Linked DNA regions of Sus scrofa. The protein of the gene in region 1 purifies or fractionates together with the protein of each later gene. This does not show direct contact. Links are inferred from orthologs where the notes say so. Each region holds a gene or a part of one and is shown on either strand. Other genes may lie near its edges.

Region 1 (15,843 bases):
AATTTGGATAAATAATTAATAAACATAAAAACTAAAATTATGTGGAAGATACTCCTCTTAGATGGTGATGCTGGATGACTTTTGAAGATAATTTTTTTATGGATGGATAATACACACGTGTGTGTGTGTGTGATGGGGTCAGGGTGTACAGCTCAGGTTTTCACTGAGCTCACACACCATGCAGTTCTCCCCCAGGTCCAGAGAGAGCTGGTGCTGGGTTATTTCTTCTGTGTTTTAATTCATCCATGGAAGAATGCTATTTGTTGCATGAGCTATGAGATAAGCTTCAGCACTGACTATAATTCCATATTTCATTTTCTGTAGATACAAACACTCAAAACCCTCATTGGCAAAAACTAACAGATGCAAGTACAAGTCCAAAAATCACATAGTGATCTATCACTAACAATTATAGTTTAATTACTTCTATTAGGTTTCCTAATGGGAAAAAAAAAAAAAGAATTGGAAACCACCCAGCTTACTTGCAAAGATTTACTTACTTCTTTAATAGAGTTGCTTGCTTTCTCAGTGTTCTGTTCCCCTTGTGTGGCAGCTGGGGGAGTTACCCCTGGGGCATAAGCCTAGTTAAGATTTGGGCTGGAATGACTAAGAGGTTTGTCTTTCTTTCCTAAAGGAAGAGGGCTGATGTGAAAGAGCAGGTATAATAAAAGGACATCTTGCACATCTGTAGCTGGTTAGCAGGCATTTAATCCATCCAGAACCATTTGGCATGGACCAAATATGCTTTATGAACGTTTTCTCTCTCTCTCTCTTTTTTTTTTTTTTTTTTTTTTTTTTTTTTTTTTAGGGCTGAACCCACAGCATATGGAAGTTCCCAGGCTAGGGGTCAAATCGGAGCTGCAGCTGCTCGCCTACGCCACAGCAACAGCAACGCCAGATCCCAACCGCCCAGAGCTCAGGGCAATGCCAGATCCCTAACCCCACTGAGCAACCCCATCCTCATGGACAGTAGTCGGGTTCATTGCCACTGAGCCACGACAGGGAACTCCAGCTTTATGGGGGTTTTGAATGAGACCAGATTTCAAGGACCTTTTGACATGGGCCAAATGTCTTATGGACCCAGTGTCTTACAGGCATTTTGGACAGAACCAAATGTCCCGCAGGACTGTCTCTCTTTAGTCCTAGAAAAGGGTTTTTATGGAAGTTGAGGAACTGGACACTGATTCTCTTATAACTTCGCATGTGTGGGTAGTGCTTGGAAAGTCTTAGTGTACTCCCAGGGGTTTACACACCCCCATTTGAAGTTCATGAAAGAGGAATTCCCGTCATGGCTCAGCAGAAACAAATCTGACTAGTATCCATGAGGCCACAGGGTCGATCCCTGGCCTCGCTTAGTGGGTTAGGATCCAGTGTTGCTGTGGCTGTGGTGTAGGCGGCAGGTGTAGCTCTGATTCAATCCCTGGCCTGGGAACCTCCATATGCCATGGGTGTGACCCTAAAAGACAAAAAAAAAAGTGAAGTTCATGAAAGAACCTGTGTGACTTGGAATCAGACTCAACCACTCTCTCAAAATGTCCTAGTTCATGTTTCTAAGAGGGGGAATCTGAATGGCCCAGCCTATTTTTTGGAGTCAAGCACACCATTGGCTTCCAGCCAGGTGGTTAGCACTGTACACAGATGTTTCCCTGAGCAGGGACCCCAAGGAAGCAGGGACCCCAAGGAAGCAGGGAGCTATGGACTGACATGTGCATACTCTTCCTTGAAACTTTCTCCAAGTCTCTTCTTCTGCTGGAAACACAGTCCACAGTCTGTGAGCTCCTTATCTCTTATTTTTAGCTTTTTATTATGTGCATCTCTTTCCACCTTATACTGAAGTTATCATGTGACCAACTAATTTTTCTAACCATAAGTGCCTTGAGAACTGACCCGTGTCTTATTTCCTAGCATTGTACCTTATACTTAGTAGATGTCTGTGTCTAATAAATAAATATTTGTTGACCAGATGAATTGATTGATGAAGGTCTAAAATTTTTTCATATCCCCTACAGGTCCTAGGATAGTGCTGGGCTTTCTGTAGCAGGGTCTCAGAAGAATGGATGGATTAATCAGTGAGCAAAACATTGAATTAACGAGCCATTGTGCAATGGCTTGAAAGTAGAGAATTCACTTCTCACATGGGGGTCAAGATCTACAGAATCAGTGTAAAAGTGCAGCATGTATGAAACCGGCTATGTCTTTTTTTTTTTTTTTTTAAACTACAGGTGATTTACAGTGTTCTGCCCATTTCTGCTCTGCAGCAAAGGGACCCAGTCATATGTATGTGTATGTTCTTTTTCTCATATTATCTTCCACCATATTCTATCACAAGTGATTGGATATAGTTCCCTGTGCTATATAGCAGGACCTCATTGTTTATCTAGTCTAAGTGTAATAGACACTCATGATGGAGTGTGATAATGTGAGAAAAAAGAATGTATGTATGCGTGACTGGGTCACCTTGCTGTACAGTAGAAAATTGATAGAACACTACAAACCAGCTATAATGGAAAAAAAACATCATTAATTAAAAAAATAGAAAAAAAAAATTTTTTTTTTGCCTTTTTGCCATTTCTTGGGCCACTCTCGCGGCATATGGAGGTTCCCAGGCTAGGGGTTGAATCGGAGCTGTAGCCGCTGGCCTACACCACAGCCACAGCAACATGGGATCCGAGCCTCGTCTGTGACCTACACCACAGCCCACGGCAACGCCGGATCCTTAACCCACTGAGCAAGGTCAGGGATTGAACCCGCAACCTCATGATTCCTAGTCGGATTCGTTAACCACCGTGCCAGGACGGGAACTCCCCTGTGTCGTATTTATTTCTATAATGGGTTGTGGTAGATAAACTTGCTCACTTCAGAGTATCAGGTAAATCCCTTCCTGTCCTCTGCATCTTGTCTTGCAGGTGTGAGCGGCACCTCTTCACCACGGTGGCGTTTGGTCCCTACCTCAGCCCGGGTGAGGATGTAAACCCCCCCGCTCTGCACATGTGTGGTACAGGCCAACAGGAACACCTGGCTCCAGCCACGGGCACGGACATGTCAGCCGTGGAGTAGTGTGGACGCTCTCTCTCTGCTTCTCAGGGTTTCAGTCCTTTCGGGTTTGTGTCATTGACCTGTTTTTTATGGTTTTGTGGCTGGACGTTCACGACCAAGGCAGGCACCATGGGGGATCAGCAACTGTACAAGACCAACCACGTGGCCCATGGTGGTGAGAACCTTTTCTACCAACAGCCACCTCTTGGCGTCCACGGCGGGCTGAACCACAGCTATGGGAATACGGTCCCTGGCGCTGCCATGGATGCTCCTCAGGCATCACCCATCTCCCCCCACTTCCCTCAAGATCCTCGGGACGGTCTAGGCTTGCCTGTTGGCTCCAAAAACCTTGGCCAAGTGGATACCTCAAGGCAGGGAGGGTGGGGAGGGCCCGCAGGGCCTGGAAACCACGTCCAGCTACGCAGCAACCTGACCAACTCAAACATGATGTGGGGGGCACCAGCCCAGGCGGAGCCCGCCGATGGCTTCCAGTACACCTACTCCCAGGCCAGCGAGATCCGGACCCAGAAGCTCACCAGCGGTGTCCTGCACAAGCTAGACTCTTTCACCCAGGTGTTTGCCAACCAAAACCTGCGGATTCAGGTCAACAATATGGCCCAGGTGCTGCACACCCAGTCGTCAGTGATGGACGGAGCCCCGGACAGTGCCCTCCGCCAGTTGCTGTCCCAGAAGCCCATGGAACCCCCAGCACCGGCCGTCCCCTCCCGCTACCAGCAGGTGCCCCAGCAGCCTCACCCTGGTTTCACAGGTGGGCTGTCCAAACCAGCTCTTCAGGTTGGGCAGCACCCAAGCCAAGGGCACCTGTATTATGACTACCAGCAGCCCCTGGCACAGATGCCAGTGCAAGGAGGACAGTCCCTGCAGGCCCCCCAGATGCTGTCCCCGCACATGCAGCAGATACAGCAGCACCAGTATTACCCGCAGCAGCAGCCCCAGCCGCAGCAGCAGCAAACTGGGCAGCAGCGTATGTCGATGCAAGAAATGCAGCCGCCCCTGCAGCCGCTTCGCCCGTCACAGCCCCAGCAGCAACAGCAGCAGCAACAGCAGCAGCTGCAGCAGCGGCAGGCTTCGATGCAGATACCTCAGTATTTTCAGTCCCAACCCGTGATGCAGCATTTGCAAGAGCCGCAGCAGCCACAGATGCACTTGCAGCCCCCTTCTTACCACAGGGACCCCCACCAGTACACCCCGGAGCAGGCGCACGCTGTCCAGCTGATTCAGCTGGGCTCCATGCCCCAGTACTACTACCAGGAGCCTCAGCAGCCCTACGGCCACCCTCTGTACCAGCAGAGCCACCTGCCCCAGCACCAGCAGCATGAGGACAGTCAGCCCAAGACTTATCCAAGTGACCGGCAGGCCCAGGCCATGCTGAGCTCCCACGGGGACCTGGGGCCTCCAGATACAGGAATGGGAGACCCGGCAAGCTCGGACCTGAACCGGGTCAGCAGTGCCCTCCCGCACCGGCCGCTCCTGTCCCCCAGTGGCATCCACCTCAACAACATGGGGCCTCAGCACCAGCAGTTGTCTCCCAGTGCCATGTGGCCCCAGGTACTCCCACCGTGGATGTTGCCCTTGGTATCGGGGTGTGCTCCTGGGCCAGCCAGCTGAGTCTGTGCAGTGCCAGGTCCTCCCTCCCAACCCCTGCAGCACTTCCGTTCTTGCCTTATTCCACAAACATTGACCAGACGCTGTCTACGCCAAGCCATTGGAATTCAGAGTCCATTTTGACTCAGGGCTTCACCCCTAGAGCTTAGAATCTCACTAAGGAGAGGGCCAAAATACCATAGCAGGTCCCGAACGATGCATGTCATGGTCAAGGTCTGATCAGGTGCTCGGGGACCAGGACCAGCTAATAACGGTGTCTAGCCCCCTTAGAACTATATCCTTAGGGAATGTCCTGGGCACCTGTTCCCCCTTTGCGAGGGAGACCTCGTCATGACAGCATTTCTCAAAGGACGTTGCTCCAAATAAGAGTTCCATAGAGGAGTTCCCTTCGTGACTCAGCAGTTAACGAACCCGACTAGGATCCATGAGGATGCGGGTTCCATCGTTGGCCTCGGCTCAGTGGGTTAAGGATCCAGCATTGCCATGAGCCTTGGTGTAGGTCAGATCTGGGGTTGCTGTGGCTGTGGTGTAGGCTGGCAGCTACAACTCCAATTTGATCCCTAGCCTGGGAACTTATCCTATGCTGCAGGTGTGGCTCTAAAAAGCAAAAAAAAAAAAGAGTTCATAGAATGTTTAGTGGATATTGCTGGGGAAGAGGAATGGGTTCTCTGGATGGAGGGTTTCTTAAAGTAAAAGAGGGTGCTGTGTTGCTGGGCTTCTCAGGGTCTTTAACATGCTCATGTGCACCGTGAGCATCCCCAAGGGGAGACCTCATATAGTTGCAGAGATGAAAAACCTTCGCTGCCCTCAGGATCCAGGCAGGTGAAGTCAATAAGCCACACGGCCTGGTAGGAGATGATAAGGTCTGCAGTAGATAGGAGACCCGATGCCCCATCTCATGATGCTCCTAGTCAGGATATTTAAAAACAGTCTAGCCAGGCAAACCGTGTCTGTAGGCCAGATTCAGCTTGCAGGTGACCCTTGCTAACCCTTGATTGTTCCCCAGATGTATTTGGTCACAAAACCACCCTGCGGTGTGCTGGGCACCATTCATGCCTTGGCGTGTTGCAGGTGCTACACTCATGTGACAACAGGGTCTGGGGGTGGGGGAGGTCACCTTGAATAGGACCAGGATAGAGAGGAGGGGGGCTGTGAGGAGGGGTGAAGGCCAGAGATGAACTCCCCATGACCTTGTTGTGTTTAGGACTTGGGCCAGTGGTAACGGAGAGCCTTTGTGATTATGAAAATAAGAGGACAGGGCTGGGAAGGAATTCCAGCAGGAAGTCGCCCAGCTTGATGCTGTCTCTCAAGGGAATGGAGCCTGTCTGTGCACAGAGTGGGTGGACGGGAGAGCAGGAAGGAAGGAGGTGGGGAATGAGTCCTAGCGGGCTTGTGGCCGGTGGGGCCCCCTGAGAGGGCGGGGCCCCAGACCCGGGACCGTCAAGGGCAAGAAGTCTGGAAGCCTCAGGTGTGGAAGAATAAGGTCAGGAGTGGCCGTGAGCCCAGTGGGCGTGAGGGGGAGAGCGGGGAAGAACCCTAGAAGTGCAGGCCCTGGGGGTTCCTGCTGCTCAAGGACCCCTCCCATCAGAAACACATGGTTTTTTTTCTTTTTTTTCTTTCTTTCTTCTTTCTTCCGGTGCCCTGCATGGCTCAAATTAGATGCACGTACCTGATGGCAGAGCCCAGCCGGGGTCCCCTGAGTCAAGGTATGTTGGATGCATGGAGGCTCGTTGGCATTTGGGGAGACTGGGAGATTTCCCTGGATTGTCTCATGATTCATTTCCAAAGCCATTCCTCAAAGAAATGTATAAGAATAATAATAGCAGTTACTGTGTTTGAGCGCTTACTGTTACTCTCTCTTGTGTGTAATAAGGTAACTGAGCAAGAGTGGGTGTGATTTCCATGTGCCCACTACAAAGTGAGCACTCAACCATTGTTGGCTATAATTACTATTATTTTACGCACGAGAAAACTGAGGCTCAGAGAGCTTAAAGTAGCACATCGAGGAAGTAGGGATGCTGGGGTGGACTCCAGAGCCCATGTTCTATCCCCTATGCATTCAGTATTTATTGAGTACCTACTGTGTGCCAGGCATAGCGCTAAGCTTTGCGGATGCCACAGTGGATCATAGCACGGTCTTGTTTTCTCGCCTGGTGGCCGTGGTAAATAAAAACTTAGCCAGAACCTGATAAACTGCTAAGGCGTGTGATCTGGAGGTTGAACCAGAAGACTTAAACACAGGTCTCTAAAGGAAGCCTTCTGGAAGAGACCCAAGCTGACCCTAGATGGATAATAAGCATGGGGGCAGGGGAATGGGGCCAAGCCCCTGAAAGCCTAGAATGAAGGAAGACATTTGGTTCAACTCTTGCAGGATCTTGAGGATCTTAGTTACAGATGAACTAAGTCCATCTGTAAATTGGACTTAGTTCTCAGAAAGCAACTGGGGCGCTACAAGTGGGACTGTGGCCCTGGGTGCTCTGGATGAATGAAATGGGTTCATTGTGGGGTGTGAGGTCTTGTGATAAGTCACTGTTCCCCTTTATCACTGTGCGTGTCCTCTCTGCTTGGCCCTCCCCTTGAGCAGTGGCCAGCCAAAAGGAGTGTTTGGGGAGCAGTTTGATGCCAAGAACAAGCTGACGTGCTCCATCTGCCTGAAGGAGTTCAAGAGCCTGCCTGCCCTGAACGGGCACATGCGGTCCCACGGGGGGATGAGGGCCTCGCCCAGCCTCAAACAGGTGAGTCGGCATCAGCCCTGCTCCTTCCCAGGCCATGTGCTGCTTGCTTTGCTTTGCTGCCGTCAGACAGAGTGACGTGAGCCCCCATGTCACTGAGAGGCGTAGTCCTTCCTTAACAGAAGTGCTTCAGCTTTGCTGCTGGGAGCCAGCCAGGTCACACGGTCCCCACTGCCACCGGCTTTGTGAACAAGAGTCCAGAACAGAGGTGGTAGAAATCCTTTAAGGGGATCCCAGCCTACATACCTCTTGGAGAAGACAGCAAGAAAACATGGAGATGTATTATTTTTTTAACTCCTGCTGCTTGACAGTCAAGACTGGGGTCCCTTGGGCCTTCCAGATCCGTCAGTGATGGCCAGGGGAGGCTACTGTTGACTGTCAGGCTCCAGCCAGCCTTTTCTGTTCACCAGGGCACTAGTGTTAGACTCTAGCATCTGAAGACCTTTAAATGCCCTCAGGATTATCCAGGTAGGATATCCACGTGGTGAACTAGCCACACAGGGTGAATTTTTTTATAAAGATTTTTATTTTTTCTATCATAGTTGATTTACAATTTTGTGTCAATTTCTGCCATACAGCAAAGTGACCCGGTCATACATATACATATACATATATATATATACATACATACATACATATATATACACACATATATACACACACACATATATATACATATACATATATATACATATATATATACACACATATATATGGACATACATATACACACACACACACATATATATATACACATTCTTTTTCTCACATTATCCTCCATCATGGTCCATCACAAGTGATGAGACATAGCTCCCTGTGCTATCCAGCAGGATCTCATTGCTTATCCACTCCAGATGCAACAGTTGGCATCTACTAACCCCACACTCCCAGCCCATCCCAACCCCTCCCTGTCCATGCAGGTTTAGTGTTAGATTAAAATTCAAAGAATTTTTCTCAACTCTTTGAATATCGTTGCCATGGGATTAACTCTCTTCACCAAAACCTTTGCTGTGACCCAGGTCACTGCGTCTCCTGATCATGCCAGTTAAAAGAGCTTTGTCTTCCTTTTGACAGATGAGCAAACTGAGGCCCAGTGAATTAAAAGGTCCTCCACAAGACTTTAATTTGGGGGGTTTTGCTGTTGTGTTGTTTTGCCTGATTATGAGTCCATATCGTTTTTTCTTTGAAAGCAGTGACACCCACACAAAATTTTTCTTGACCGTTTGTTTTAATGTACAAGTGATACAAAGTCACAATTTTTTTAATGTAGAGAACAGAGGGCCTTATTCGTTGCCCACGGGCATCCCTGCCGCCGAGGGACGCGGGGCGGCAGGAAGGAAACCACCCTGCCCTGGTTCCCTGTCACCCACGCGGGATGCCCAGGAACCTTCCAGGTTCAGGAAGGGCACAGGGCACCCCCCTTGGGAGAGCTGCTCTCGGCCCAGGATCAAAGCCTTTATTGTCTGTGTAGGAGGAAGGAGAGAAGGCCCCGCCGCCTCCGCCTCAGCCGCAGCCGCCACTGCCGCCTCCGCCTCCGCCTCCGCCGCAGCTCCCTGCCGAGGCGGAAGGCCTCACGCCTATGGTCATGCCCGTGTCTGTCCCTGTCAAGCTTCTGCCGCCCAAGCCCAGCTCTCAGGGCTTCGCCAACAGCGTCGCTGCCGCCCCCTCGGCCAGAGACAAGCCAGCCAGCTCGGTGTCGGACGACGAGATGCCCGTGCTCGTGAGGATGACCCTCTCCCCCCCGCACTCCCCCCAAGGGGCTGCCCCCCGCCCGCCTGCTGTGAGTCGCTGCTCTGCCCCGCCTGCCTGGGGTGGGGACCTCCCTTTGCTTTCTCGGAGACGGGGGACAGCTGTGCCAGGGCCCCCGACCTGGGCTCAGGCATGGCTTGGCCCCGATGGCTGCCTTGGAGTTTCCCACCCGTGTCCACAGTGCCTGCTACCCAGTAAACACCTGCCACTCTACCGGGCTGACGGTCTGGGTTAGATTCTGAGAGACCAGAACCGAAGAGGTAATCACAGTTAATAAAAAATGCAAGACCTGTCCAAGACACTAAATAGCTCCTGCCCAGGGCCCAGGCCCCTCCGCCGGGACCTCCTCAGATCTGGCAGCCAAAGATGTCACCCCTAGTGTATGGGGCCCTCCAAGCAGTAGCCCTGACATCCATTCTGATGGCCAGTCAGTCTTACCAGACTTGATATTTGCAGTATCATCTCTGCGTCAGTACCCTCCGAGGACCTGATTCATGAAGGCTCCCAAAGTAATTCCACTGAGCCACCCACCCCCAATCTCGAGAAAGCAAAGAGACTTGTGTTTCTCACTCACCGTTGAGTTCTTTTTTCTCAAGTTTCAAGTGCTTCAGCCAAGCAGCTTAGCTCGGGTCTGGGACAGGGACCTATCCCCCCGCTCCCTCCCTCCCACCCCTGGCGAGTCTGTAATCCCTGTGGTTGACCACCTCAGATTTGTCCCCTCCCCACAAGTGGTATGCCGGGTCGTATTTGTCCTTGGAGAGTAGGTGGCTGCTGGGAATCCAGGAGGTGGGAGAGTGGGCTTGGGCCAGAATAGGGATCAGAAAGATAATTAAGAGAACTAGAAAAGTCCAGGAAGAGCCTTTGGGGTTCTCTATGTAATATTGAAGCTCAGAAGAGGAGAGATGGATGGAGACCCTCTGGGGGGGGGGGGCGGATTCTCATCAGCTGGCAGGTCTTGTGGGCCAGCAACAGGCAGAGATGAAATGACACAACCGGGCTCCCGCTTTGCCCGACGAAGTTCCCGATGTGGCGGGAGAGGTAGCGTTTCTACCCTTGGGGAGCTCCCAGCCTCACTGGAGACAGTGAGGTTCCTAGTCACACAGGGGTCAGAACCCCAGGCAGCAGCCCTCCCATACACACACACACACACAGAAGACAGTGAGAGGATGAGCAGGGCAGGCGAGAAAGAGTCATACCCTCCGGGTGGCTGCTGGGGACACACCTGCGTTGCTGAGGTAATTAGGGCCCGGGACGAAGGGCCCTATTACAGGGGAAGTTTGGTGCAAATTCCCTTAGAAGAGCATCGTGGAGTTCCTGTCGTGGCGCAGTGGTTAACGAATCCGACTAGGAACTATGATGTTGCGGGTTCGGTCCCTGCCCTCACTCAGTGGGTTAACGATCCAGCGTTGCCGTGAGCTGTGGTGTAGGTTGCAGACGCGGCTCGGATCCCGCGTTGCTGTGGCTCTGGCGTAGGCCGGTGGCTACAGCTCCGATTCAACCCCTAGCCTGGGAACCTCCATATGCCGCGGGAGCGGCCCAAGAAATAGCAACAACAACAACAACAACAAAAAAGACAAAAAGACAAAAAAAAAAAAAAAAAAAAGAAGAGCATCGTGAGGGGAGTTCCGAGCAGGGCCTTGAAGGCAGAGCTGAACTCGGTTCTGTGGGAAGGGTGAGAGAGATACTGTGAGGAACTAAACCGAAGTGGAAGCACATAGGTAGGACTGTGTAAATGTGAGCAAGGTCCTGACACTTAACAGAAAGACATTAAAAAGTCCAGTTCTTATCCCCACTCTGCTCCTGGCCGCTGGGATGCAGACAGCTGCAACCCTTCCCCTCTCAGCACCTTGGTTTCTCCCCTGACCTTGAGAGGGCGGGGTCGGACCCATCAGGGACCGTCATCCCTCTGGGGAGCTTTGTAAACGTCTCTGCTCTTGGCCCTGCCTCCAGAGTCTGATTAGCTTGGCTGGAACTCTGTAAGTGCCTCCTCTCAAGTGACATCCAGGTCTGACATTCTGGTGCCTTCCCTGGCTCAGGGTCCTCAGAATCTTGCCTGGAGGATCAGAAAGCTCCAGTTTAAAGCTAGAGCAACAGAACCAGAGGTGCACATAGGGAGAGCCCAGCAGAGACCTTTCGCCCTGTGGTCAGAGGTCTAGATTCCAGTGCAGGATGGAAATCACCTCATCAGCTACCCGGGAACAGGGTGTAAAGGGTTGGGATTGCTCCCCAAGTTTGGGGGCTCAGGCATCCTCTCCCCATTCCTCAGCCCCCCTCTCCTCCTCAGCCCCCTCTCTCCTCAGCCTCAGGCGATGAGGAGCCCTCTGGTGGGGACAGGAAGCAGGTTGCAGCTCCCTGGCCTAAGGAGAGCCTCCTGAGGGTGAGATGGGAGTCTGGGGCCCCTCTGCCCCTTCTCCTTTCCCCACCTCTCTGCTTCCCTAGGCTCCCCGCCAAGGGGCTGGGACGGCACCCTAGCAGATGGTGAAGCTGAGGCAGAGACAGGAGGGGCAGCCTGAAGTGCTGAAGGCAGCAGAAGGGGCCCTGAGGAAGAGGAGCCCAGAGCTGAGGGGTGACTGAGGCAGGTCACATGGCCTGGAGGAGCCTGGTCACATGACCAGGGCCAGCCTTCCCATCATCCCCTGTGGCCTCCTGCTCAGGCGCCACCCTGGGCAGAGGGATTGCCAGGGACCATAGCTGGCTCTGAGGGGCCTGGGAGGGTACCACAGACCGCCCAGAACTTTTCTGCAGGTATGCCCACCACTCCCCCAACCATACCACTGCCTCTCCAGCCACACCCAGCTCTGGGGTTTTCTGGGCTGATGCTGGCACACGACCAAGTCTGTTTGTGTTTGGCTTTGGCATACCCTGCTTATCTCTTTCCGTGCATGTGTTTACTTATTAGTATGTATGTACCTGTGTGGCCGATCTTCCTCCCAGGCTATGCTTGGTTCTGCCAGTATGAAACAAACTAACACGGCTGACAGGAAACCAACCTAGGAGAAGGGCTTGCCGCAGAGGAGAATGCTGGGAGCAGTGGGCAGGGGTGGTGAGGGGGGAGGGTCACCACATCCATTTCCAGGCGCACAGGAGGGGGCCCTCAAAGGTCCTGGACGGCTCGCCTCAGCCCTGATGTGACCTGGAAGGAGAACCCACTGGGTCACTGGCCCTGGGAGCCTCCCCTAGGCCTGACCCCCCTCTTCCTGTCCCGCAGCCTCTGCCCAGCTTCCCTGTATAGATTTATTTTGTCCCTTCTCAGAACATATGTTATCTGTCCCTGAAGTCTGTCCCCGGGGGAGAGGTGGGGAATTAAAGGGCCCCCTCGGCTGGATTCCACTCACCAGATGGGAATGCAGTGATAAGCACTGAAGAATGAGAATTTATTCTTTCTTGCCCACCCACTATTCCCTGCCACCCCCATCCCTCTCCAGACATTAGGCATTTCCTCCAGAACCAAAGTTTTCGCCCTAATGGAGCCACCAGATCGCGCCTTGTGTGAAATGGATGCGACGGTTTCTTAAGGCAGAGGAGGCTGCGGTCTGGGGAGGAGGAGGCGAAGGCGGTGGAAGGGAGGAGTCGCCTTTCCAACAGAAGCCCCGCTTCCCTCAGCCTGTGGAAATGGCCTGTGGGAAAAGCCCAAGCATCTGAATTGGAAGTATCTGAATTGGATCGTTCTTCCCGTTGTAGGAAATTCCCAAGAAGCATCAGGCCGGTGCGGCCAAAGCCGAGGACCCGGTCAAAGCCGTGCCCGAGAAGAAGAAGTTCCGGCACCGGCCCGAGCCGCTCTTCATCCCGCCGCCGCCCTCCTACCACCCCAACCCCGGCGCCTCGCACTCGGGCGCCACCCTGTACCAGAGCCAGCTGCGCTCCCCGCGCATCCTGGGCGACCACCTGCTCCTGGACCCCGCCCTCGAGCTGCCCCCCTACACGCCCCCGCCCATGCTGAGCCCGGTGCGCCAGGGCTCGGGGCTCTTCAGCAACGTGCTCATCTCCGGCCACGGCCACGGCCCCGGCGCCCACCCGCAGCTGCCCCTCACGCCCCTGACGCCCACGCCGCGCGTGCTGCTCTGCCGCTCCAGTGAGTCGGCCCGTCGCGGCTCCCTCTCGTTTACGCCGCAGAGCTTGGTGGGGGATCTGCTCTGCATACCAGGCCCCGTGCTAGGAGCTGGAAGTCCTCAGAATCAGAATACCTAGTCTCAAGGGCATCAGTGTAGCTGATAATGACAGTCTCTCTGGGATAAGGAAAAGCAGTTGAAGTGTGCTGTGGATAACCATGTGAGATGCCCCCAATAAATATGCTAAGTAGGAGTTCCCGCTGTAGTGAAGCGGGTTAGGAATCCCGCTGCAGTAGCTCGGGTCATTGTGGAGGTACAGGTTCGATCCCTGGCCTGGGAACTTCCATATGCCTTGGGTGCGGCCATTGAAAAAATAAGTAAAAGAAGTGCCCGCTGTGGCATCAGTGGTCTCTTGGGAGCCCTGGGTTGCAGGTTCGATCCTTGCCAGCACTGCAGGTTAAGGATCCGGTGTTGCCACAGCTGGGGCTTAGGTCGAAACTGCAGCTAGGATCTGTTCCCTGGCCCAGAAACTCCATATGCCACAGGGTGGCCCAAACAAGATAAATAAATATGTAAATAAATAATGCTGAGTGGGTGTACAAATAGGATGATATGCAAGACCACACGTCTGCATTTTAGCCTGCTGTATGAATGTCAAGCAGGAGAGACCTGTGGCCAAGATCTCTTTCTGGAGCAAGAATAGTTTCATAGAAAAAAGATAGCTTAGCAGACGGGGGTAGGGCAGCTGGCATCTCCTTATCCTGTGCGAAGTAGGGATCCCTAAGCCGTGTATCCCCACACTCCATCCAGCTCCTGGAAGACTCCTGGGGTAACTGGGAAGGAGAGGAGCACTTTTATGACAATTTAAGTAACTGCTCATTTTGTTTCTTCAGTACCCTTCCCTGTTGACCCCGTGACCTCTGTTTTTTTGTGCTTCAGACAGCATCGATGGCAGCAACGTGACAGTCACCCCGGGGCCTGGAGAGCAGACTGTTGATGTCGAACCGTAAGGAAAAGCCAAGTACCCTCTAGAACAGCAGGCTCAGCTGAGGATGAAGAGCTGTGGGAAGGGTAGTTAGTACTTCGGGAGTCAGTGTGGCTGCTGGACAGGAAACTGGAGAAAGCGTAGGACCGTAGTATTTCTCAAGTGCTGTTTGTTTCCCTGTAATGGCGAGTGTTTCAAGACCTTTCTAAAGACTAAGTGCTTTGAAAGCATGGAGCCTTGTATTTGGCAAACCTAGCATCCCTGTCTCCGGCTCCAAGGGCCAGTTTGGTTGGGGCTACATGCGTTCACATCCCAAGTGATGCTGAGACATCTCTGTTGGGGTGCCCAGCTCTCCACATGCTGCATCCAAATGCCATGCTCTCCTTGTCCTCTTCCAAAGATTCTTGGCCAGTCCTCCAAGAGACCGGGCTTGAATACTTGAGCTTGGTCGGGGGTGTGGGTATAATGGAAGAGAAAGGTGGTTAATTTCATGGGTAAGCACAGAAAAGGCCAGATGGTAGAGTGCTGAATAGATGAGTCAGGAATCAGAAAACCTGGTTCCAGCACATTTCGTTACTTGCTGTTGATCAAGGTAACCTTTCTAGGCTTTAGTTAACTCATCTATTAAATAGGAATCATTTTCACTGCCTTGGTTATTACATCATGGGTCTTTGTGGAGTTCAGATGGGACCATGTATATGGAGTGGTCTGGAAGGGATAAAAAATGAAATAAGAACTTTGTATTTGTCTCTGTGGGTTAAGTGGTACCATCAGCCATGCTCCGGGCAGCCTTGTTCCCTGGGAATTAGCACCTTCCCCAGCCAGCTCTAAGGTTCCTTGAAGCCCCTTCTCCCTTGCTCCCTGCAGCATCTCTCCCCAATCTTAAAGCCGTTCCTTATCCCGGTGAGAAGGCCATGCCCAGACTTTTAGGATCACACTGTGAGGAAATGCCCCTGCCTCTTGTTCTTGGAGAAGGAACGGGTTTCCTTCTTTTTCAAGTCCCTGACAGTTGCCCTTGGCCTCAAGTTGAAGACCGCACTGTTGTTTTTCTTCTTGTCATTAAAGGCGCATCAACATTGGCTTGAGATTCCAAGCGGAAATCCCAGAACTCCAGGATGTCTCTGCCCTGGCCCAGGACACACACAAGGCCACCCTGGTATGGAAGCCCTGGCCGGAGCTGGAAAACCATGACCTCCAGCAAAGAGGTACTAGAACCCAGGGAAGAACCGGGCGGGAAAGGCTGGATTCTCTTCCTCCCGGGGAACCCTGGCTCCAGGATTGGTGTGTTTTTCCGCGACCCTGAGCCCTCTCTGATGCAGTGACCTCTCATTGTTCCTAACAGTGGAGACTCTCCTGAATTTGTGCTGTTCAAGTGCATTGCCAGGTGGCGGGACCAATTCTGAATTTGCTTTGCACTCTCTCTTCGAGGCCAAAGGTGATGTCATGGTAAGGAACCACGAAGAGCAGGCTTCCAGGCTCATATTCATCATGTCCGAATTCTGAAAAGCACTTTCCCAAGATGCTGCATTGTTTTGTATCATACAGCCAGTTCATAAGATGATGTCCAGCCAACGTGCCTGCCATGGTCCTTATCTCAATGAGGAGGTCAGGATTTAAGAGCCTGTATGGGAGTTCCCATCATAGCTCAGTGGTTAACTAATCTGAC
Region 2 (15,548 bases), on another chromosome or scaffold:
CAGTTAGTCTCACCTTGTTTATTCCCACCGTGTATTTCCATCTGAAATTATTGGTAGTTCGTATGCGTATTTTTCTGCCTCCCTCCTACCCCCTCCACTGCTAAAATCTTGAGCTTTACGAGGTGAGGCCTGATCTTGTTCATCACTGTATTCACAGACCTGGAATATGACTCTTAATATGTGTACATTGTTTTCCTTTGTTTGTACATTGCTTATCGAGTGAATGAGCAAACAAGTGAACAAACATACAGCAAATGAATAAGCTTGGTTCCTTCTCTCTTAGAACTAACAGCCTAGTCAGGCAGACAGGGAAAAATTAAAATACCACACAGATGGGTGCAAAATTACACATTGAGGAGTTCTTGCTGTGGTAATGGTTTAAGGATCCAGCATTGCTGCAGCTGTGGGGCGGGTCACAGATGTGGCTTGGATTCAATCCCTGGCCCAGGAACTTCCCTTATGCTGAGCTTGGAGCCAAAACAAACAAAAACCACTGAGAGAGATATGTGCACTCTTCACGGAAAAGGGACACATTTGGAGGAGAAGATCACAAGTTCAATTGTGGACTTAGCAAATTTGAGACACCCCCACATAGACGTGGAGCAGACCATTGTATAAATCTGGAACACCATTATATAAGTCAGGGGAGGCCACCACTGAAGGTAGAAAATTATGGAGTCAGCAGGTGATGCTAGCTGAAGCTCTGAGCATGGATGAGAGCAGACAGACTATCTAATGAAAAGAACCAGACTGAAGAGGATGAGCCAGTAAACAACAGCCAAGGATGAATGGCCAAAGAAGCAAGAGGTAAACCAGGGAGTGTGGCCACAGAGCCCATAGAAGACTGTTTCCAGAAGGAGGGAGCCTTCAGGGCTGTCCAGTGCGGCTCCAAGAGGTCACGTGAACCCAGCTCTTCACAGGCCTCCAAGGCCCTGCCAGCCTCCCCATGCTCCCGCTCACCCCTCTCCTTCTCCCAGGACCGCGAGGCCTCTTCTTCAAATGAGCCACATCTGTTCCCACTTTAGGGCTTTTGTGCTTCCCCCTGCAGCTGAAACACATTTCTCCTCAGCCTTCTCTCTGCTTGGCTCCATCACATCCTAGCCAGAGCACCCTTCTCAGCAAGGCATTCCCCGGCCACCTGCTCCAAGTAGCTTTCCCTTTGGGTGATTCTGTCACGTCTGCCTGGCTGGTGTTTTTTCCTTCAGAGAAAAATTCATGGTCTACAGTCACTGTGCTTATGTGTTTGTTTATTTGCTTAACGTCCAGATCGCCCACAGAATATAAGCTCCACAAGAGCAAGGCCCTTGTGCTCAGTATCGATTAAATGAAAAACAGCAACTTACTGAAGACTGTGCTTAATATCAGTGCATTTACTTAGAAAAAATACATAGCAGATATTTACATGGCAAAAAGTGAGAAAGAGTTTGCATCGAAATGTTAACAGTACTCTGAGTCCTGAGGTTTCAGATTTGGTTTTGTTTTTTTTTTTTTTTCTTTTTTTGTCTTTTTGTCTTTGTTTGTTGTTGTTGTTGTTGCTATTTCTTGGGCCGCTCCCGCGGCATATGGAGGTTCCCAGGCTAGGGGTTGAATCGGAGCTGTAGCCACTGGCCTACGCCAGAGCCACAGCAACGCGGGATCCGAGCCGCCTCTGCAACCTACACCACAGCTCACGGCAACGCCGGATCGTTAACCCACTGAGCAAGGGCAGGGACCGAACCCGCAACCTCCTGGTTCCTAGTCAGATTCGTTAACCACTGCGCCACGACGGGAACTCCAGATTTGGGGTTTTTTTTATTTTTATTTTGTTTATTCACATTTTTCTAATTTTTCAACAATGGTCGTTAATTACTCAAGGTTTTTTTTGTTTTTTTGTTTTGTCTTTTGTTTTTTTGAGGACTGCACCCACAGCTTATGAAGGTTCCCAAGGCTAGGGGTCTAATTGGAACTGTAGCCGCCGGCGTACACCTCAGCCACAGCAACACCAGATCCAAGCCACATCTGCGACCTACACGACAGCTCATGGCAATGCTGGATCCTTAACCCACTGAGTCAGCAAGGCCAGGGATCGAACCCACAACCTCATGGTTCCTAGTCAGGCAGATTTGTTTCCGCTGCACCATGACGGTAACTCCAAGTTTTTTTAAAGATATCTATTTGTGTCCATGTCTCAGGATCCCTTTGTACTGACCATGAAAGAGTTTTAACCCAGCTTGAAGCTGTGTCTATAAAAATGGAGACAGAGAGGCTTACTTACTAAAATAGTGACTAGTAACACTTGGTCTTTTCCTTTCAGGCTAAACTACTCTTTTCAGATGGAGAAAAAGTAATACCCAGATTGACCCATGAGCTTCCAGGGATCAAGGTCAGAGTCACCTGGGGTCTTAGAGGGGGGAGACCACTCAGACTGGGAGGCAGGTGAACTCCCTGGCTCCAGGGGAGGCTCTAGGTACCATGCATTTGTGGGGCCAGATATAAATAGCATCGTGCTGGGAGGGCTTCTGAGTCCCAGCTCAGGGAGGGGCTGAGGAGTGGTCCAGGGGCTCTGACTTCTGCAGCCCCATGGGACCCGAAGCTCCTGGGCATTGGCCTCCCACCAACTCCCTTCCCTTCTCCCGCAGCGTGGCCGGCAGGCAGAAGAGGAGGGTGCCCATCGGGGGAGCCCCATTCCCAAAAAGGTAAACCATCTCCTCCTTGTCTGGCCGGGAGAAGGCCCTGCAGCTGCAGAAGGGGCTGAGCTTCCTCAGCTCATCTCTGGTCCTCTCTAGCCTGAGGGGCAGGAACCTGGGAACCGTCACCCTCCCTGGTCACTCTCGAGGGTCGTTTGGTCTCATTGGAAGGGAGTTCCCTGGCGGTCTAGAAGGGAAAGCCCTCTCCCCTGGACGCCCCAGTGGGTGGGGGCTTCCCACAGGGTCAGGCCTCTGACAGCTGTTCTTTGTGGCAGAGGAAGGGACGGCCTCCTGGACACATCCTGTCGAATGACCGGGCCGCCGCAGGCATGGTGTGAGTAGGGGCCAACAGAGCCAGAAGGAGAGCGGGGAGGGAGTGGCCTGGAGGAGAAGAAGCCAGAGTTCTCTCCTGGTGAAATCACTCCTTCAGTGTAGGTCACCATGGAGGAGAGTTACTGTGGTCTGAGAGGCCGAGAAACATGGCAGTGAGGGGAGGTGATTTTATCCTGGTTTTGCCCCCAGAACAGTTCAGCCCAACTTCATTAAACACCAGAGGTTTTTTTTTTTTTTTTTTTTTTTAAGTCTTTTTAGGGCCGCACCCACAGCATACAGAAGTTCCCAGGCTGCAGCCGCCAGCCTACTCCACAGCCACAGCCACAGCAACATGGGATCTGAACCATCTCTGTGACCTACACTGCAGCTCACAGCAACACTGGATCCTTAACCCACTGAGCAAGGCCATGGATCGAACCCTCATCCTCCTGGATACTAGTTGGGTTCTTTACCACTGAGCCACAATGAGAACTCCGAGAGAGATATTTTTTTTTTATTAGCAGTATGTATTGAACACTTATCATGTGCCATAACTGGTCTAAATACCTTATGTATTGTGCCTTTTATTCCTTACTGGAGCCATTCTCTAGTAAGTAATTAAGGTATAATTAATTTTGGAGATAAGAAATTGACTCAGAATTATTTGCTCAAAGTCAGGCAGCTAATAACAGCAAAACTATACTACATTGTCTCCAGGATGGTCATTTTCAAAGATTTTGAAGCAACAGAATCTTTTCTTCAAACAGAACTTTACGTGGAAGCCCAATAGATAAAGCAGATAAAGCCACACGGGTCTGGTTAGGAGAGATGGAGGTAGTTTGAAACCACCAACTTAGGGGTTGGCCTCGTGTATCCCTCCCACCTTCCATCTCTCCCTTTCCCGGAGCAAATTCATTCCTTACTCACACGAGGTAGGGAGTTGCTGCTGTTACCTCCTTCTGTCAGATGAGAAAACTGCAGCCCACATGCTGGGTGATGTCAGAGCAGATCCTGGGGTGGCTCCTGGTGCTGTGGGGTCCCCAGTACACCCAGGCTGGAGTGAGAGTGTGAGGAACTCGCAGCAGCAGCAGACTTGCTTTCAGTCTAGCCTGATCTTGGAGAATTCACCCCTCTTCTTTCCTCCCGATCAGATGGAAACCAAAATCCTGTGAACCAATTCGCCGGGAAGGCCCCAAGGTATGATGAAGTGAGCGCAGCTGGCAGCACACGCCAGCCTAGGCGGACTCAGTCCAGGCTCTGGGCCCCACCTCGAGGGAAAGGGCCTGGGCTGGGGGACGAGTGCACACCCTTCCAGACCGTTCCCCCCCATCCCACCTCCCAACGCTGGCCTTCCAGGAGGATCCCAAGGAAGGATTGACATTAGGGGCAAAACTAAGAAAGGGCTTTGTCTTTGCTGAAGCCTTCTCCCAGTAAAACTAGTTGTCACTCTTCCTTTAGTACTTAATATGTGACAGGCGCTGCCCTGAATCTTTTGTATGGATTACATGATTTAATCTTTGTAACAACCTTATGAGTTAGATTCTGTTACCCCTCTGTGGTTCAGGAGCTTTCTTTCCCACCTCGTGGGCTGGAATAATCTCATTTTACCTAATTATCTTATACACTTGATGCATTCAAGGTTACAGAGCTGCCCAAGGTCATGTACCAAGTAAGTGGCAGAGCCAAGGGTCAAATCCAAGACTGTTGACACCGGAGTCTGTGTTCTTAGCTGTTAGCCTCTGTTGCCTACAGAACAGAAATTTGCAGGCTTTTTAGCAGTAGAATCCTTTCTTCAATTAAAATCATACCTGGAAGCGCAGTAAGGTGGATGCCAGCTCCTCTGTCCCCGTAGAGCTGCATCCCATAGAAGCCATCCACTCCTTGTCGTCCTGGCCCTCTGCGTTCACGCCAGTGACCACGCCTTCCTTCTTCAACTCTGCTACATCACAGCAGGGGGTCCTGCATCCTCCTAGAACTGTCTTTTCCTCTCCGAGCACTTCTCTCCCTCTACTGAGTCCTTCCTCGGCAGTGACCCATACAGATGGCCGTTCCCCAGAATTCGCTCCATTGCCCATGTCTCCACCTAAAGTTTCTGTCCGGGTGATCTAGAGGATCCACTCTTACGGTTTCGGGGACCAGTACCTGCCCAGGTTGCCTTACCCCGTGGTTTGTCCCACCCCTCTCTTTCTAGTTTAAAATTTGTATATCCTGCTCACTGCTCGAGCTCTCGGCTTGGAATTTCCATAGAACGTCAGACTCAGCACATCCAGAATTGAAGTCGGCAGCTTTCCCCCCAGACCTTCTCTGACCTTCTCTGCTTGAGTCACCTTTGCCTATTCCTTTCCTTCCTCTCCCTACATCCAGTCAAGTCCCGGATGCTTCTGCCTCCTCAGTACATGTATCCAGGTCCTGTTCCCTCTTCGTCCTCACTGCTGTCCTGGCTCAGGCCCTCATCTTTCAAAACTGCTCTCTTGCAACAACCTCTAGACTGCCCGCCCTGCCTGTAGTCTTGCTCCTCCACACCCAGTAGCCACATTGCTGAAGATCGAGCCACCTTTAGCGCAAATCTGGCTCTTGCTGTTTAGAGGCCTTCAGTGACCCAATCGCCTACAGAAGAAACAAAAGGAAAACCCATCCACGGCGTGTGCGAGGGCTCCTGGCCCCCCTTTTCCTCCCTCTCCAGCATCATCAGTTGCCACTCCGGAATTCGCACATCTCTTTCCAAAACACAGAATCGCTGTGGTTCCTCCAGCAAGCCCAGCCAGCTCTCGCCGCCTTTGCTCATGCTGCCCCTCCTTCCTGGCCTCTACCCTATCCAGCTTGTGTTCTCACTTTCAGAACCAACTTGGGAATTACCCTTCAAGGAGAAGCAGGTGCCCTGTCACCCTCCCTTTAGCTCCCCTTGCACTCATATCATTATCTGTACGTATGTCTGTGGCCCAGAGAACATGCTGTCTCTCAGTCACTCCTTTATGCCTGTATGTAGCACAGGGCCTAGCATGTGACAAGTACTCGGTTTCTTGAATCAGCTGTGTGTTGAATAATGGACTGGGGAGGCATGTTTCTGTCCTGCCCACCAGTGAGACCTCCACCTCACCAGCCTCTCTCTCCTTTTCCCAGTGGGACCCAGCTCGGCTGAACGAAACCACCACCTTTGTGTTGGGATCTCGGGCCAACAAGTAAGTGTGAAGCGTCTTGGTGCTGAGGAGGGGGAAGCTCGGGGTCCATGAGGACGGCAGCCACTGGGGTCCTCACCACCCGTGTGTTACTTTGCAGGGCCCTGGGGATGGGGGGCACCAGAGGGAGAATCTACATCAAGCACCCACACCTCTTTAAGGTAGGTGAGAGCTGAGGGCGAGGCGGACCGCTGAGTGGAGTAGGTGGCTCAGAGAAACTGGGAATAGACACTGATCGGGGAGTCAGGACGTCTGAGTTCCAGTTGCCCCTCTGCCCTTAACCTTTACCTCTGTGCCACAGCAGATTAAGGATCCAGCATTGTCACTGCAGTGACTCCGGTCACTTCTATGGCGTGGGTTCAATCCTTGGCCCAGGAATTTCCACATGCCATGGGCAAGGCCAAAAATAAAAAAGTTAAAATTAAATAAACAAAAAATAAAAAACAGATACACACAGCTCCTTGCCCTCATAGAGCTTATCTTCTAATGCAGGGCAAGCTGTGGGCTGTGGGCCAAATCCATCTGTACCCTGTTTTTGTTCAACTCAGGGTTTTTATATTTTTAAAGGGTGATTAAAAAAAAAAAAAAAGACCATGTGACAAAGATCTATATGACCGCAAAGCCTAAAATGTGTACCAGCTGGCCCTTTACAGGAAGGTGTGAGGACCACTGTAAATCTAGCAGACAATGTCTTAGAGGTTCGTCCATGTTATTAAGTCTCCCTCATTCTACTTATAGCTGTGTAGGATTCATAGAATAGTCTGTAATTTACTTCATTGCTCCCCTGTTTATAGATATTTAAATTTTTTCCAACAGATTTGCTATTACACACAATGCTACACCAAACATCCTTGTGTACATGTGTGGCTGATTCTGAAGAATTAAATCCCTGGAATTGGATTGCTGGGTCAGAAAGTACACACTTTTTTCTTTTTCTTTTTTTTTTTTTTTTGCCATGCCTAAATCCTTAAGGTGCTGTGCCACAAGGAAACTCCAGAAAGTACACACTTTTAAATTTCTGATTAATATTTATATCACTTGGGAAATGAAATCATTGTTTAAACTCAAAGGATAGTAACATGGAGATCTCCCTGCTTGGTCTCCATTTCAGATGTTCTGCCTGTTACATAAAATCTACCTTCACTGAGCACTGATGTGTCTTACACTCCATTTACCACCCTTTTTTTTTTTTTTTTTTTTTTTCGTCTTTTTAAGGCCGCATCCACAGCATGTGGAGATTCCCAGGCTAGGGGTCTAATTGGAGCTGCAGCTGCCAGCCACAGCCACGCCAGGTCTGAACTGTGTCTGCAACTACATCACACAGCTCACAGCAACACCAGATCCTTAACCCCCTAAGCAAGGCCAGGGGTCAAACCCGAGTCCTCATGGATACAAGTCAGATTCGTTGCCACTGCGCCACAACAGGAACTCCGTCTTGTTTATTCTTAACACCCCTGTACGTGTTAATACTCTCTGTTTTACAAACGAAGAAACTGGGTCTCAAAGAAATTATTGCCCAGGTTTACCTCTTCTATTAAGCAGCAAAACCAACTTCTTTCCCTTTCCTTTCTTTTTCAAAACACCAGGCCTGATTGGCCACCCACGCGTGTGCAGGCTCTTCGGCCCACCTGCATTCCTTCCCTGCCACGCGCGGACCCCGTGGGCAGAGCTCTAAACCCCCGAACTAAGTTCTTAACCATGACGCTCTTCTGCCTCCTCCAGGCCATGAAGTGTCCTGATTTTTGTTTTAGAAAGTGTGGTCACCTGTGTTTGGTCACTTCAGATATTTCTTCAAAGAGGAGCCGAGTTCTAAAAAAGTTATCACCAGGAGTGACTCAGCAGTAATGAACCCCACTAGTACCCATGAGAATGCGGGTTCGATCCCTGGCCTCGCTGAGTGGGTTCAGGATCCAGCATTGCCATGAGCTGTGGTGTAGGTCACAAACACGGCTCAGATCTGGTGTGGCTATGGTGTAGGCCAGTGGCTACAGCTCCGATTAGACCCCTAGCCTGGGAACTTCCATGTGCCACGGGTACAGCCCTTAAAAAAAAAAAAACAAAAAAAACAAAAACGGAAAGAAAAGAATAGTCACCAGTCTGTCCATTTGCCAGAGATGCTATGTTTTGAGAAAGGACATAAGCAGGAATTAGGAGTGTACTAAATTTTGGGGAATTAGGTCCCGTCGCCTGGCCTAGGCTTGGCTCTACTGGCTCTGAAGAGGTTGGTGAGCCCTCCACACCCACCAGGCTAGGACGAGGTCTTGTTGGTAAGAAGTATCCAGGGGCAAGACTATTGTCTGAACCAAAGAAAAGCCCATCACACCAGGCTGACATCTCCCCCTGTGACTTCATCCCTTACAGTACGCAGCTGACCCCCAGGACAAGCACTGGCTGGCCGAGCAGCATCACATGCGGGCGACAGGGGGGAAGATGGTAAGCATTGTTTTCACTTGTCCCTGCCGGAGACCCACCCAGCCCTGGGAGATTGGGCAGGGCCCTCCACACCGAAGACCAGACTGTAATCTCTGGCTTCCCTCCCCCGTGCCCCCTCCCCATCTCAACAGCACCCTCCTGTGTAGCTCATACAAGCGTACAGGACGCTCGCAACACTGCCCACCCCTCCTGTGCTGCCCATTGACAGCTTTCCCTCCATCGCAGCTCTTTCACCAGGCACAGTACCATTTCTTCTCCACAGGGTACCAGGCATTAGCCCTTGGCAGGAGGAATTAGCACATGCAGTGAAACTTGCTTGCCACACCTGGCAGCCCCTTCCAGAACCACCTCTACCTAAAGTGTTCTCAGCTCATATCAAGCAACCACCTTAGGAAAATCCTCATTGCACGTGTCCTAAAACTGTCATGGAGGGATTTGTCCATCACATGCAGTGTCCCCACCTGAGGATTCACTTAGTCGCAGAAACCACTATGCCATCTCCTTTCTGACAGTGGAAGCTATCTTTTGGTGTCTATGCTATACTCTTTCAAAAAAGACATCAGGAAGCTTACCATTGACACATAATATAAATAAGAAAAAGGGAGAAAAGGAAAAGCAGGATCTAAAATAAGCCACAAACAAGACTGGTTTTAAAAAAGGAGGGTGGGGGTGGGGAATGGCATGGGATTACTTGCCAGCCTGGGAGACCAGTGCCCTTCTACAGGTTTTTACAAATTCAGCTCCAGGCCCCACTTAAGGACACCTGATCTGTTTCATAGTTCACAGTGCCCCTAAGATGAAGACAGTCGTATGACTCAGGGGACACACAATTACTCTTGACCCTCACACTGGAAAGAAATGTCTTCCACAGAAGACTTTCGCATGTGATCAACATCCCCCATGTGGTAAGAGCCCTCACAAGCGGGCTCCCTCCCCCTGCAGATGGCGGCCTGGGGCCAGAGCAGTTCTGCAGGCCCCAGGACAGCATAGCCCAGTTACTAGACAGTGTGGTTTATCGTGTTTTCCCTTTTGCCATGAAGTTCAAAACCAAATTATCTTCATTCAAGAGTTCACACGTGGCTTCCTCCTGACTTCCTGTTTCCATGTTTATTTTGCTAGCTCTGTGGCTCTTTCACTGTAAGCCACCCCATGGCCCTTTTTTAAAGAGGTGACAGCCAAAAATAAGTCAGTAATCCCCACTCTCCGGCCCATAAATTAGTCTCTACTTGAAAGAAAAATTATCTCAAGAAACTATTCCCCAGACAGCCTCTCCCTTCTTGCTCTCCCTTGCTAAATTACAAGCTATGACTCCACTCCTCCCTTCTAGCCCTTACCTTAAGCAGACGTTTAATAAAGTGTTAATTGAGTTGGAATGAAACGAATCATAGGCAGTGACCACTCTCCTTTGTTCCTGCCCCAGGCCTACCTCCTCATTGAGGAGGACATCCGGGACCTCGCTGCCAGCGATGACTACAGGTAAAACCAGCGGTCTGTCCCCTACCCTTCCCCCTGCCTCACAGTAGCCCCTGGGATGAGCCTGGACCTACATCTTCCCTTGCTCCAACTCTCCTCTTCAATGTCTGTCCCAGAGGATGCCTGGACCTGAAGTTAGAGGAGCTGAAGTCCTTTGTCCTACCCTCCTGGATGGTTGAGAAGATGCGAAAGTACATGGAGACACTACGGACAGAGAACGAGCACCGCGCTGTTGAAGCACCTCCACAGACCTGAAGCCAGGTCCCCTGGCTACACTTGGCAGCCCTCCTTTAAGGCCCTCTTACCCACATGGCTGAGGTCACTGCTGGGACTGCTTCTAGATGGATCTCAGCAGCATTAAGCTATGCCTGGGCTAGTTTGTAGTGACTCACTGCAGAGCACCCCCAGACTGGCATGTGGTTCTATATTTGTAAAGTTTTTGGGATAAGAAGCAATTAAACAGTTTGTAATAAACACAGATGGTGAGCCTGCTGTGAAGTCTGCCTCTGGGGGCTGACAAAATATCAAGGGCTCTCCCTAGAGGAAGTGGGTGTAGGGAATAAAGGCCCAAGCACCCCTCCCCCATCCCAGGAAGCCCAGTGGCCTGTGCGTATCTGCTCCGTGAGAAACTGGGAACAGCCTGTACCTTGCTGCCAGCCTTTCCTGTCCCTGTTTATCTCCTCACCCAACTAAGGCATGGGAGTAGCAGAATGTGACGGCTGGGATCATGGACATTTGATGACAAACCAGCAGGAAAATGTAAGGCGGCTTTTATTACCCCCGTTTTAAGGTTAAAACACGAAATTAAGTGCCTAGGGTAGCACAGGAAGCCGTTGGAGAGGCCACCGTTGAACCTGTTTTCCAGTAGGGGGTCTCTGGCTCTGGCCCTCGGCCACTAGTTTTTACCCTCGCCTGACGGTTCAGACCCTTAAGGCCCTAACCAAAGTGCCCAGGACATTAATAACAAGTGGAGGAGCTGGGGTATCCGGTTTGGGGGATAAGTACCAGGGCCCCGAAATCGGAGACCCTCCCTTCTGCGAGCAGGGAGTCCTAAGCCGGCGTGCGGTAGTAGCCAAGGGATTCATCCCACGTGGATGTCTTCTAGGCCATTTAATGGTCGGCGTTTTCCAAAGGCCACCAATCCACTACAGATTCGTTAGTTAATGACAGCCTCTCTTACCAATCGCCCATCTGAAGAGGGATCCAGCCGCCCAATAGTGGTGCGCTGGTGGGTGGATGCAGCAGTGACAGAGCGCCCCATTGGCTGGATTAAACCCAAGCGAGCCACTGATTGGCCGGCACCTCCGGAGGGTTACAATTCAAACGCGGGCGGGCGGGACCGCGGCCCTGCAGTTGCAGCCGTGGTCTCCGGATACCCTGAGATCCTGTCTCCCTCCCAGCGCTGCCCAGATGGCTTCCCAGAACCGCGACCCAGCCGCCGCCAGTTTCGCGGCCGCCCGTAAAGGAGCCGAGCCCAGCGGGGGTGCCGCTCGGGGCCCCGTGGGCAAGAGGTGAGTGGTGCCGAGGGAACACTTGCCGGGCCTGGCACGCCCTAGGCATTTGAAGCCCAGAGCAAAGACTTCCGGGGACCCCCACATTCTCCTGGAGCAGCTGAGGTATGAGAGGTAGAGGTACACGCCAGGAGATCGCCTACTTCTGAAGGACGACAGAAGGGGTAGGGATGCTGCCAGGATCCTCCGTGGATGAGCCAAGATGAAGATGCCCTGGGGACCCTCTGTGGCTTGGCTGGAGGGCGGCGGGGAAGGGGGCTAGAAGGTGAGAAATTGAGATCCTGCACAGAGAGAGACGCCAGAGAAGCAGAATTAGGGGTTAAGAATAAGCCAGAGCTCTCCTTCCGGGAGCCTGGCATTAGGAAGGGTGTGGACTCACTAAGACCCCCCTGTGGAAATGGGGGTGACCATGCCCACAGCTAAGTCCGACCTCAGGGTAGAGGGAAACCTCCGTGACAGCTGCTCCAGAGAGATTGGGATGGGAAGAGATGCACCTCCTGGAGCCCTGGACTCTCAGATGACCCCCAGATGCTCTTTTCACAGGCTACAGCAGGAACTGATGACCCTCATGGTAAGTGACTGGTGCCCGGATACCCAACCAGTTGGTCTCCCCTCCCACCTCCCAGTCACTTATCAGTAGCCTCCTTTCCTAGCTCCGGCTCTTTGATAGGCATGGGGTAAAAAGATGAGTCCAGCTTGCTCTCCTCTGGGAAGAAGTTAACACACCCCACCTACACATCTTCCCCCCAGGCATCTTTACTCCCAGTCCCATCTTGCCACAAAGAAGTTATCCTTAAAGTACAGCTCTCTTACGAGGCCTTCCCTCTGTCCTTCCTGGCTCTACTTCCCTGTCCTAAAATTTACCTACACCCAACTCTTCATCCTAAATATTTCTAATCCCATCCTACCTTGGAATGCTTCCTTCGGGCCAGTCTTTTCTACATTAACCCTGGATATTCAACTCAAATCCTTCAGTGCCCACGCTGTTTATCTTCCCAGCCTGTGAATAGTCTCTGGGCTTTGTGTCCAACCAGCACTCAATGGCATGTCAAATTGAATTCCCAGCAACCAGCAAAATTGTGGATACAAAGCTGCCTTCTTCTTCCCCCACACAACCCCTCCCTCTTAGGCTGGTGATAAACCTAATCCCAGTCCTCCCGGGGGGCACATTCAGCCCCCAGGATCTCCCCACTTCCTCAGAAGAGCCTATCAATCAATTTGGCCTGGTTGCTCCATTCTGGGTCCAGATGTGATGAGGTTAAGGGGCAGGGGCTCCCTCACCCACACCCTCCCCTGCAAGAGCACACTCACTCTTCAGCCCAGCAAGTGTTGTGTTTCTTCCCCAGATGTCTGGCGACAAAGGAATTTCTGCCTTCCCTGAGTCAGACAACCTTTTCAAATGGGTGGGGACCATCCATGGAGCAGCCGGCACAGTAAGTGTAGGGGTCGGAGTAGGTGAGGGTGACTCTGCAGAGTCTGGGGAGAGGTGGGAGGTGAAATCCAGGTGCCAGTTCTGCGTTGAGTCTTCTCACCTGGTGGGACACTCCCCTGTGTCTTCCTGGAGCCCTGAGCCTGTGGCCCTGCTCTCCATCCGCGCAGTAAGGCGGGGTCTCCATCTTAGCTACTTCCAGGGGCCAGACGGCAAGGAAAAGAATGAAGGGCAATTGAGGGTTTAGGCCAGTGGGCCCTCGCCCAAAGGGTCGCAATGTCCCACCAGCTAGGCGGGAAGGCACCACCAGTTTAATGCTTTGTCTTCTGCCGAGTCCCAGACAAACTCGGGGGTCTTGACAAGCCCCTTACGTGGGGCCTGAGCTGGAACTGAGGCTCAGGCAAAGAGGCTTACTCCCCAGTCTCTCTCTCTCCAGGTATATGAAGACCTGAGGTATAAGCTCTCTCTGGAGTTCCCCAGCGGCTACCCTTACAACGCGCCCACAGTGAAGTTCCTCACGCCCTGCTACCACCCCAACGTGGACACCCAAGGAAACATCTGCCTGGACATCCTGAAAGACAAGTGGTCCGCCCTGTATGACGTCAGGACCATCCTGCTCTCCATCCAGAGCCTGCTCGGAGGTGACTGCGGAGACGGCCTCTCCCCCCCAACCTGGGAGCCTGTTCCCGGGTTGGACAGCCTCTTCTAGCCTCTTCTACCCCGACCTGACCTTGCTCTTTGTCTCCATCCACAGAACCCAACATCGATAGCCCTCTGAACACACATGCCGCCGAGCTCTGGAAAAACCCCACAGGTGGGTCCTTCATCCTTCTCAGGCACCGAGCCATCCCTCCCCAACCATCAAAGGCTCCCCCCAGCTACTGAAGGATTCCAGTGACTTGGGAATGTGTCTGGATGACTGGGGGGTGGGGGGGGTTCAACCAGGTAACCCAGTTCCACCTCTGCCTTGGTGTTTCTGGTTTGCCTGTTTGCTATAAAATCAGAATTTGTCGCATTCATGTAGGTTGAGGGGCTTTTTCAGTAGAAGGCAAAGCTTTGTGCGAACAACTTGCTTGCTGAGGGCCCCAAGTCTCCTCCCCAGCTGGGTGGGCAGCCGGGGGACAGTTCTGTTGGGCTGGGAAACCCTTCCCCAACCCCCCAAACTCCTCCCACAGCTGTATCCTTGCTGCCCTCTTGCCAACCTTAACCCTTGTGCCCATGGCTTACTGAGACCTCCTCGTTCTCTTCCAGCCTTTAAGAAGTACCTGCAGGAAACCTACTCCAAGCAGGTCTCCAGCCAGGAGCCCTGACCCAGGCTGTCCAGCTCTCTCCCTGTGTTGTCTTTTTTTATTATTTTTCCTTAGATGGTCTGTCCTTTCCTTGATTTCTGTACAGGACTCTGTACCTTATCTGTGTATACCTTATCTGTGCTGTCATTTTTGTTTCTGTTTTTTTAAATTAAGTGTCCGGCTAAGCCCTTGTGATGAATATATTAAATAAATACATTTGGGGGTTTTTAAACAAGTTATGTCCCCTAGTCACCCTAGGGTTGGAAGTGCTCAGGCTCTGCAGAGGTCGGGCTTAGGGTCTGGGTTCTGGCCCTGCTCCTCTACCCAGGGTGTAGGAGCAGCTGAGAGGCTGGAGGGCTGAGCAGTGGGGTCATAGAATTCGTCCCCTGTGACTTTGGTTATTTTATGACTCTGCATCTGTTTCCTCATCTGTAAGATGGGCGTCGCAAAATGCCGATTTCTATGGAGGGGGGACACCAGGAGGATTGGTTAATTTAGGGACAGTCCCAGTTGCAGATGAGGCTGAACCAGACCTTCAGCTGAAACAGCTAGAGCTGTAGAGTGTGTGAGTGTATGTGTGGGAGGGAAGGATTAGCCACCTAATTTCCGGCAGTAGGTGTTTTGGTCCTTGAGAAGGAGAAGGGAAAAAAGGGGGGTTCGGTGGTTTAAGGATCCGGCATTGCCACCGCTGTTGTTCTGGTTATTGCTGTGGCACAGGTTCAAGTCCCGGACAGGGAATTTCTGCATGGCCAAAAAAAAAAAGACGCGGGATAACCCTACAGCAGGCCCAGGGTCTGGGGAGACAGCCAGGGAAAGCCCTCAGGACTGCATTCCCAACTCAACCTCTTGCCCCAGCCCCTGGCACATGGCTCCATGCTCCTTGGGGGGCACGTTCCCCTCCTGCTCCATCTCCACCAGCAGTTCCTCTGCTGCACCACCGACCCAGCGCCCCCCCCCGCCCCTTGGGCCTTCTTCCCACTGGCTTGCCACAGGCATTTGGGCCCCTCTGAGAGGAAACTCCAGTGCTGACCAGGCAGGCTGAGGTGCTGGGCCTGGCCCGGGTCCTACAGGAAGCTCTCCAAGGTAACAAACTCAGGTGTGCTCTAGTCAGGCCTGAGTCTTGGCCTCCTCACCCCACCTGGTCGGCTCCACCTGCAGCTGCTTATGTAGGCCCTTGGGGTGGGAGGGGTGGGTGAGGACAGGTGAAGGCAGCTGGGAAGCCATCCTCTTCATCTCAGATTGTGTTGGTGGCTCTCTTC

What was found.
Region 2: the proteins of TRERF1 (region 1) and DNTTIP1 purify together in Homo sapiens (affinity purification with mass spectrometry; 3 studies listed by BioGRID and IntAct, with this or other methods). This does not show direct contact. The link is inferred for Sus scrofa from reciprocal best matches to the Homo sapiens genes TRERF1 and DNTTIP1.

The regions. Positions count from the first base shown.
Region 1 is NC_010449.5:37,367,518-37,383,360, reverse strand, and holds part of TRERF1 (transcriptional-regulating factor 1), read left to right. Parts: intron 1-2,906; 5' UTR 2,907-3,165; coding exon 3,166-4,605; intron 4,606-6,321; coding exon 6,322-6,368; intron 6,369-7,246; coding exon 7,247-7,397; intron 7,398-8,865; coding exon 8,866-9,174; intron 9,175-12,824; coding exon 12,825-13,215; intron 13,216-14,131; coding exon 14,132-14,198; intron 14,199-15,242; coding exon 15,243-15,382; intron 15,383-15,519; coding exon 15,520-15,623; intron 15,624-15,843.
Region 2 is NC_010459.5:48,007,019-48,022,566, forward strand, and holds the end of DNTTIP1 (deoxynucleotidyltransferase terminal-interacting protein 1), read left to right. Parts: intron 1-2,293; coding exon 2,294-2,362; intron 2,363-2,618; coding exon 2,619-2,675; intron 2,676-2,941; coding exon 2,942-3,000; intron 3,001-4,129; coding exon 4,130-4,175; intron 4,176-6,098; coding exon 6,099-6,157; intron 6,158-6,254; coding exon 6,255-6,315; intron 6,316-8,515; coding exon 8,516-8,587; intron 8,588-10,007; coding exon 10,008-10,063; intron 10,064-10,176; coding exon 10,177-10,315; 3' UTR 10,316-10,550; downstream 10,551-15,548. Other genes in the region: UBE2C (ubiquitin-conjugating enzyme E2 C), read left to right, coding at 11,471-11,571, 12,115-12,142, 12,918-13,004, 13,437-13,641, 13,755-13,814, 14,252-14,310. UniProt on the Homo sapiens protein: Increases DNTT terminal deoxynucleotidyltransferase activity (in vitro). Also acts as a transcriptional regulator, binding to the consensus sequence 5'-GNTGCATG-3' following an AT-tract.